2 linked regions of the Arabidopsis thaliana genome follow. The protein of the gene in region 1 interacts with the protein of each later gene in a pairwise test. Each region holds a gene or a part of one and is shown in the gene's direction. Other genes may lie near its edges.

Region 1 (3,925 bases):
CAGGTTTGAGTTTCTGTTGCATTTAGCTCTTTTTGAATATCTCTCTCTCTCTAAATATTATAAGTTTGCTCATATATTTGGCGTTTTCTTTAACATACAGCTTCTCTGGGTTAATCTGATAATGGACACTCTTGGAGCATTGGCTTTGGCTACTGAACCACCCACTGATCACCTCATGGGGAGGCCTCCAGTTGGCAGAAAGTACTGTTTTTTCCGCCTTCTCTCATTCAAACTTAATAAAACATTTGGTTTTGTAGACATAGACTTATTGTTATCTTTCTTTGCTTCGACTTCTTTTTGCAGAGAACCTCTTATTACCAACATCATGTGGAGAAACTTGCTGATCCAGGTAAAAAAATCAGTGAATAGACTCTGTTATTTGAAATCACCCCGTCTTATATATTACTAAAAAGTTGAAATGTGATTCTTTCAGGCTATTTATCAAGTGAGTGTATTGTTAACACTCAATTTCCGAGGCATAAGCATACTTGGCCTGGAGCATGAAGTGCATGAACACGCCACTAGAGTGAAGAACACAATAATCTTCAACGCCTTTGTTCTCTGCCAAGTGAGTTAATTAAATCAAAGTCTTCCCTTACTGTATTAAAACCAGAATGTCAACGTAAATGTTAATCGAACTCTTTGTTTACAGGCTTTCAATGAGTTCAATGCTCGTAAACCAGATGAGAAGAACATCTTCAAAGGTGTGATCAAGAATCGTCTCTTTATGGGAATAATAGTCATAACTCTTGTGCTCCAGGTAAATAATGATTTGGTGTATCAGAAAAACTTAGTAAGTTACATTTCACAAACTCTTATTTCTAAATCAAAACCGTCTTATTTTCGTTTGCCAGGTTATCATTGTTGAGTTCCTTGGTAAATTCGCTTCCACGACGAAACTAAACTGGAAGCAATGGCTTATCTGTGTTGGCATCGGTGTTATCAGGTCACTTTCATTATAATATTGTTTACAATTGAAAATGTTGATACATATTTATAAATAATATGTGCAATGCTTGTTGAAACATAACTAACGTTATAGTTGAACCTTTGTAATTTGAACAGTTGGCCTCTTGCTTTGGTCGGGAAATTCATTCCGGTGCCTGCAGCTCCTATAAGCAACAAATTGAAAGTACTAAAATTCTGGGGCAAGAAGAAAAATTCTTCTGGAGAAGGTAATAGTAACTTACAGCTTGTGATTATCAATTGAACTAGATTCATAAGAAAAGTTTGGGTTGGTCAGCTTGTGTAGTAGAACTTATCCTGAATTTAAACTGTAGTAAGGATTTGGTTTAAGCTTTATGCAGGACTGAAATGAATTTGAAAATTTGAAAATAACAAGTTTGCTTTTATTTTTTTCTCAGGTTCACTCTGATTTGGAGGCCAGTTTATTATCTCTCAGACACTGATGAGATTGTTTGATACTCTTTTAGGACTAACAGAAAAAAAAACGTTTGGTTTGGTATGATGGATTTATTGATATTTTTCGGAAACCCAACCCCCCAAGTACAGTTTTTCGGGGTTTGTTGGTCGAGCAACTTTGGATTACTGGTTTTCTTTTTGGTCTTTTTTTTTGTAATATGATCGACTACCTTTCGAATCATTACTGGTAAAGATTTTAACCAAGAAATCAAAATTCGAAAAAATGGAAAATTTTTACTCTCAGTGTGACCTAGTTATTCAAGTGGCAAAGCGTTGTTGGCCATATTATTACTACACCTACTGAACACGGATGCAATAGTCGTTAAGAAAGTTATACTCATGAGAAAACATTGAAGTATAAATCAAAGCATTACTAATGAAAATGTTGAAGTAAAGTCGAGGTTGTTTGTTGTAAAATTAAAAACAACCACGATTTTAAGATTAATGTCGAACACCGGAAACATTTTTAATGTCGAACAATTCAACACCCGCATATGAATCTGGAATGTAAGGAGACATCAATCAATTCCACACAAACATCGAACAGACTGTGAACAACTGGTTAACAGAAACCGTAAATAGGTCCTACGTGTCAGACAGGTTTGGCCACGTCATATATTCATTATCGGATACGGAAATCACTCGATGAAAAGCCAAAAGAGCTTTCCTTTGTTTTTCTGTCGACTGATATTATTATATTCTTTTCTTTTTCTCGGTTGAATAGTTAATTAATGTAATGTTTATCCCATTCTATAATTTTATTTTGAAAATAAAGAACGCGGAAAAAATAAAATAGGTAAAAAATTCACGCGTGAAAGCAAGAAGAAGAGACAGTAGAGTCTAGAGACTACTAAAGTGTTTGGTTTACTCATTCCCTCTCCTTTTCAAGTGACAGAGCCAGACACTCACTACCTCTGTGTTTTTTTTAATGGTCGGTGAAGAAACCGTGATTTGCTCAAATCACCAAAATAATACTCTCTTCAATCTCCATCTTCCCGTTATCTCCGCCACGTGTTTCTCTCTTTTTGTCTCCTTTCTTCTTCTCCCTAATCTTAATCTCAGAAACCAACAACATCAGTAGTCAGTACCCCCACACACACAGAGAGACCCTTTTTCGATTCTCCACTTTCTCATAAAGGAACGATTTTTCGAGATGTGGGTCAGTGTTGATTTCTCTCCTCTTGGCTTATGAGTTTCGAATTCGAATCTCAAACTAAAAAGCTTTTTGAAACAAGCAACAAATGTTACTGACACCTAAGATGTTTAGTTCTTGGCTTCGACAAGATGTGAAGAAGATCCTCAAACGCAAAGACAGTGATGCTGGTGAACGAGGTAAATTTCAAAACTTTTACTTTCAATTTCGATTTCGACTTCTATGATTGATAACCGTTTCCTTTGAAACATCTCTTGTTCCTTTTAGGATTGATTATCCAATCTTATCATAGCAAACCCCCAATTTTTTTAGATTAGGGTTTTATCACCAAAGAGTTGATTTTGATTATGTAACAATGGTTTCTCTAATTCAGGAAAAGCATTGGAGGACTTGAGAGCATCGTTATTCAACAGATTCCGTTCACCGGAAACTCCAAAGAGACAGCAACAACAACAACATCGTATCTGTGGCCCAACTGTTGCTCTTACTTTCAATTTCGTTGTTGCTATTAGCATTATCTTCATGAACAAATGGGTACTTTTAAGTTTTAACTAACCAACCTCTCATTTTAACATCTTCATTAGTGTTAAATACATCAAAGTAATCAGCTTTTTTTGCTTCTTTGATTGCAGGTTCTTAAAAATATAGGCTTTGAGTTTCCAGTGTTCCTCACATTCATTCACTACATTGTAGCTTATCTACTAATGGCTCTTCTCAAATCCTTTTCGCTCCTTCCTGCTTCACCGCCTTCCACGAAATCATCGTTGCTTCCGCTCTATACTCTTGGCATTGTAATGTCACTCTCTACAGGACTAGCTAATGTTAGCCTTAAGTATAACAGGTTTTGGAAACATTCTCTCTTTTTTTGCTCTCCCTTGTTTTCATACATTGCTCTGTCTCATACTGTTTCTCACTTCGTTGTTTTTGTTTCTCAGTGTTGGATTCTACCAGATGGCGAAAATTGCTGTTACGCCTTCTATCGTGTTTGCAGAGTTCTTGTGGTATAGAAAGAGAGTTTCTTTCATGAAGGTAAATGAGATTTTCTCTCTTTATCACACAATTTGTTTGTAGTCAATTGGATTTATAGAGTTAACAAAGAGAAAAACTTTGGTATAGTAAGTAACCTTGTGGCTGATGTTTTTCAGGTGGTATCACTTACAGTTGTATCTGTGGGAGTTGCGGTTGCGACTGTAACAGATTTACAGTTTAGTCTGTTTGGTGCTTGTGTAGCATTCGCATGGATCATACCAAGCGCAACTAACAAAATCTTGTGGTCTAATATGCAGCAACGAGAAAACTGGACTGCTTTGGCGTATGTGATTCAGATTCGTTTGTTTTCAGTCACACTCA
Region 2 (3,925 bases), on another chromosome or scaffold:
AACAAGGTTGGTCTATGTAGTATAGTGGTAACTGGTAAGCCCCGATCCGATTACGATTCAAAACCAGTAGAACTACACAATGAACAAACAAGCAAAATTTTACAACAAAGAGATAGAAAAGAACACACACCACTCCCATCATATAGTGGTTTCATAAATCATATCAACAACCGCTAAGAACTCACGGCACTAGGCTCTATCTTAGTCGTAACCCAAATCTCCATCACATAGCCTTCAAAAGGTTGAAATAAAACTGCAAGCTGCTCTTCTCCAAATGCAGATAGAGTCGCAATATCATAATTAGCCTCAAACGGCAGAGGCAGAGTCACGTCTCAGTTTACAATTACAATTACAATTAAAATGTTAAATAAGATTTACGTAGCAACAAGGTCGTTGTAGTATAGTGGTAAGTATTCCCGCCTGTCACGCGGGTGACCCGGGTTCGATCCCCGGCAAAGGCGTCTTTTTTATTTTGAAAATTTTCCACAAATCCGCTGTGTCGTTCATCTTTCTACATTTCCGATTCAAAACCATTAGAGCTACACAAAGAACAAACAGAGCAAAAGTTTCCAAAACATAGAAACAAAAGAACACACTACAATCAACCTCATAGCCTGAAAAGACGATCGTATCTCCTTCATAGCATCCTTCATAGCATCCTTCATTGCATTACTGAAATCAACAACAATAAGAACACGCAGCCAAGGAATAGAAAACAACAAGAATGAATTACGGCAAAACTTCTTCTGGGACTGATTATAGCACAAGGGCTAGAGGAAACCCATTGACATGGTTATTTGACTCTCAACACCACACCCACACCAATTCCTTTCAGGTAATTTTGTTTCTTATTTCTCTTTTTCTTTTTTTTCTTGGTAATGTGACAGTTTTGTTGGTTTAATTTGTAACATATCTGAGTAGAAAGAATTTTAAAAACTGTATAATTCACCGGAAATATTCTTCAAAATAGCAAAAAGAAAATGGTGTCACCAAGAGAAAGTTATCTCATAGGAAGAGAAGAAGACTCCTTTACTTACAAGTTTAAAAGAAACATTAATTTTTCAAGTGAAGCTTTCCTTCATCATGTAGTGCTCTTAGAGGAGTACAAAACAACAAAAACGAACATGTATGCTTCAAGTTGTCAAAGAAGGCTGAGTTCATCAAAAGGAGTTGGAACTAAATAAGCTCAAGAAAGACTTTTTTTTTATCTATGTACAATGTATAATTATATAGCATATAGCATATAACCCCACCCCATATGCTTAGCAGTTAGCAAGCTCTGTCGAACTACATCAGCTTTGTATGTCTTATGGCGGCAAATTTCTTCTATGTATGTTTCTAACAAAGTTTGTTACTTGTTAAGGTTGATTCTGCCTCTGTTTTCTTTCATCGGAGTATACAGTAGCTGGCTGAGTGACCACTTGCCAGCTAGCTAATTGGTCCTGGTTCTGATATTAGGAAAACAAGCAGAATTGATGTCAAACTGTAACAAACAAAAATTTCTAACGTTTCTTATCAAATCCAAAACTCAAAAGAACACTGAACTTGGAACATAAGAACATGTAAGAAAGAAATCCCCTTTTTCTGTATGTAAGAAAGAACTTTGGAACATAAGAACATGGAGATTGACACTATTTAAATAAACCCTGTTCCACACCTTCGCGATCCCAAGAAACTCTCCTTCCCTTGCAGCTTCTGCTTTACTAATGTGCTTTGATAAAGCGTTCCACGTTTTGCAAGTCACTCGGACTTCTCTCATCGATTTCACTGGAACCCTTGAGAGTATTTCCTCTACCAATTCCCGGGGAAGATCGGACATCTTCTCCATATTTTTTTCTTTTATGGTTTCAACAATCAACAAAGATCGTTGTAGTAGAATTAGGGTTTCTTCTTATATCCCACGTCTCAGTTTATAGATTAAAATTAAATAAGTAAATAAAACTAACGTAGCAACAAAGTCGTTGTAGTATAGTGGTAAGTATTCCCGCCTGTCACGCGGGTGACCCGGGTTCGATCCCCGGCAACGGCGTATTTTGTTTTCCTGTTTTATTTTTTTGAACTCTGCTTAAATATTTTTATTGAAATTTCCCATAAATCCGCAAAGTCGTTCATCTCCCTACATTTCCGATTCAAAACCATTACAGCTACACAATGGACAAACAGAGCAAAAGTTTCCAAAACAAGAAAAATAAAACCCAAAAAAAAAAAAAAAAAAAAAAAAAACCAGAAAATCACCATCACCGGAATCCGTCTAGCGGAACGACGGAGACATCTTCCTTCTTTGCATGTTACCGCCGTTTCTTGGCCGTAGAAGATATAAATATTGATAGTCGTATATAAAAAAAAAACATATAAGACAAGGTACATAAGAAAAAAACAATTTCGTTAAAGAAAAAATGGCTGGAGGAGGAGGTGGTAGCACTTCTGGAGAAGGTCCTAGAGAGCTCGATCAGACACCGACATGGGCCGTCTCCACTGTTTGTGGCGTTATCATCTTGATCTCTATCGTTCTAGAGCTCATGATTCACAAAATCGGAGAGGTAATAAAAACTAACACAATTTCTCAAAGATTGCTCTACATTTTATGATTTCTTATTACACCAGTCATTGATTGTTCTTTCGCAGGTTTTCACTGAAAGAAGGAAGAAAGCTTTGTACGAAGCGCTTCAAAAGATCAAGAACGGTACCAAACCCTCCAATTGATTTTTTTTTTTTTTTTTTTCGTGGGTTACAAGTTTTAGAACTTTTTGTGTTATTGATTTTGCAGAGCTTATGGTTTTGGGATTCATTTCTTTGTTATTAACATTTGGACAAAACTACATAGCAAGTTTGTGTGTGGCGTCAAGATACGGCCATGCGATGTCCTTTTGTGGTCCATACGATGGTCCAAGTGGTGAGTCTAAGAAGCCAAAGACTACCGAACACTTAGAACGTCGTGTTTTGGCTGATGCTGCTCCAGCTCAGTGCAAGAAGGTCAAAATCTTTCTATATATATTTTTTTTTTTGCTTAATTAGATAACATGGTTGAAATTGATGAAGATGAATGTTTTTGATGTATGCAGGGCTATGTACCGCTTATATCACTCAACGCGTTGCATCAAGTGCATATCTTCATCTTTTTCTTGGCTGTGTTTCATGTCATTTATAGTGCTATTACCATGATGCTTGGACGAGCAAAGGTATATTTGCATATATAATGTTTACTTAATGTCGTAGCAATGTGTATGTGTTTGTGAGATTTTGATTGTTGGATTATGCAGATTCGTGGATGGAAAGTTTGGGAGGAAGAAGTCATAAATGATCATGAAATGATGAATGGTTAGATTATTGAGCTTATAGTTACAGATGCCATTCACATTTCAAACAAGAATATCAATTTCTTATTACTTTGGTGTAATTTACAGACCCTTCAAGGTTTAGGCTCACACATGAGACATCATTTGTTAGAGAGCATGTCAATCCTTGGGCCAAAAATAGATTCTCATTCTACGTTGTAAGATTTTGATCGTTTGTTTTTATTATTCCATCTCTTGTTTCTATGTATCTAAAGCAAGAGAGACTTTCCTTGTTACTCTGTTTTGTAGATGTGTTTCTTTCGTCAAATGCTGAGATCTGTCAGAAAATCTGATTATTTGACAATGCGTCATGGTTTCATAAGTGTAAGTTCCTTGAGATTATGCAAAACCATTCTTTAATTAATTTCTCCCCAAAACATTGTTTGAGATATGTTTCCAAAATCCTCGGTTACTTAGGTCCATTTGGCACCGGGTATGAAGTTTAATTTCCAAAAATACATCAAAAGATCATTGGAAGACGACTTCAAGGTAGTCGTGGGAATAAGGTACATCTTAATACTTCTTCTTCTTACACCAACGATCCTATATTCATCATTTTCGGATGCAATTTCACAATCATTCTGGTAATG

Evidence for each region.
Region 2: the proteins of AT5G57100 (region 1) and MLO5 interact in a protein complementation assay, tested with the Arabidopsis thaliana proteins (one large-scale study listed by BioGRID).

Annotation. Positions count from the first base shown.
Region 1 is NC_003076.8:23,107,179-23,111,103, reverse strand, and holds the start of AT5G57100 (Nucleotide/sugar transporter family protein), read left to right. Parts: upstream 1-2,220; 5' UTR 2,221-2,663; coding exon 2,664-2,754; intron 2,755-2,948; coding exon 2,949-3,109; intron 3,110-3,207; coding exon 3,208-3,416; coding exon of another isoform or gene 3,417-3,510; coding exon 3,511-3,604; intron 3,605-3,720; coding exon 3,721-3,887; coding exon of another isoform or gene 3,888-3,925. Other genes in the region: ACA8 (autoinhibited Ca2+ -ATPase), read left to right, coding at 1-3, 101-201, 304-349, 434-568, 653-760, 855-946, 1,066-1,175, 1,365-1,375.
Region 2 is NC_003071.7:14,242,742-14,246,666, forward strand, and holds the start of MLO5 (Seven transmembrane MLO family protein), read left to right. Parts: upstream 1-2,209; 5' UTR 2,210-2,396; coding exon 2,397-2,540; intron 2,541-2,625; coding exon 2,626-2,683; intron 2,684-2,767; coding exon 2,768-2,973; intron 2,974-3,062; coding exon 3,063-3,179; intron 3,180-3,260; coding exon 3,261-3,318; intron 3,319-3,404; coding exon 3,405-3,493; intron 3,494-3,584; coding exon 3,585-3,659; intron 3,660-3,752; coding exon 3,753-3,841; intron 3,842-3,925. Other genes in the region: AT2G33655 (F-box and associated interaction domains-containing protein), read right to left, coding at 174-305, 597-746, 1,658-1,828.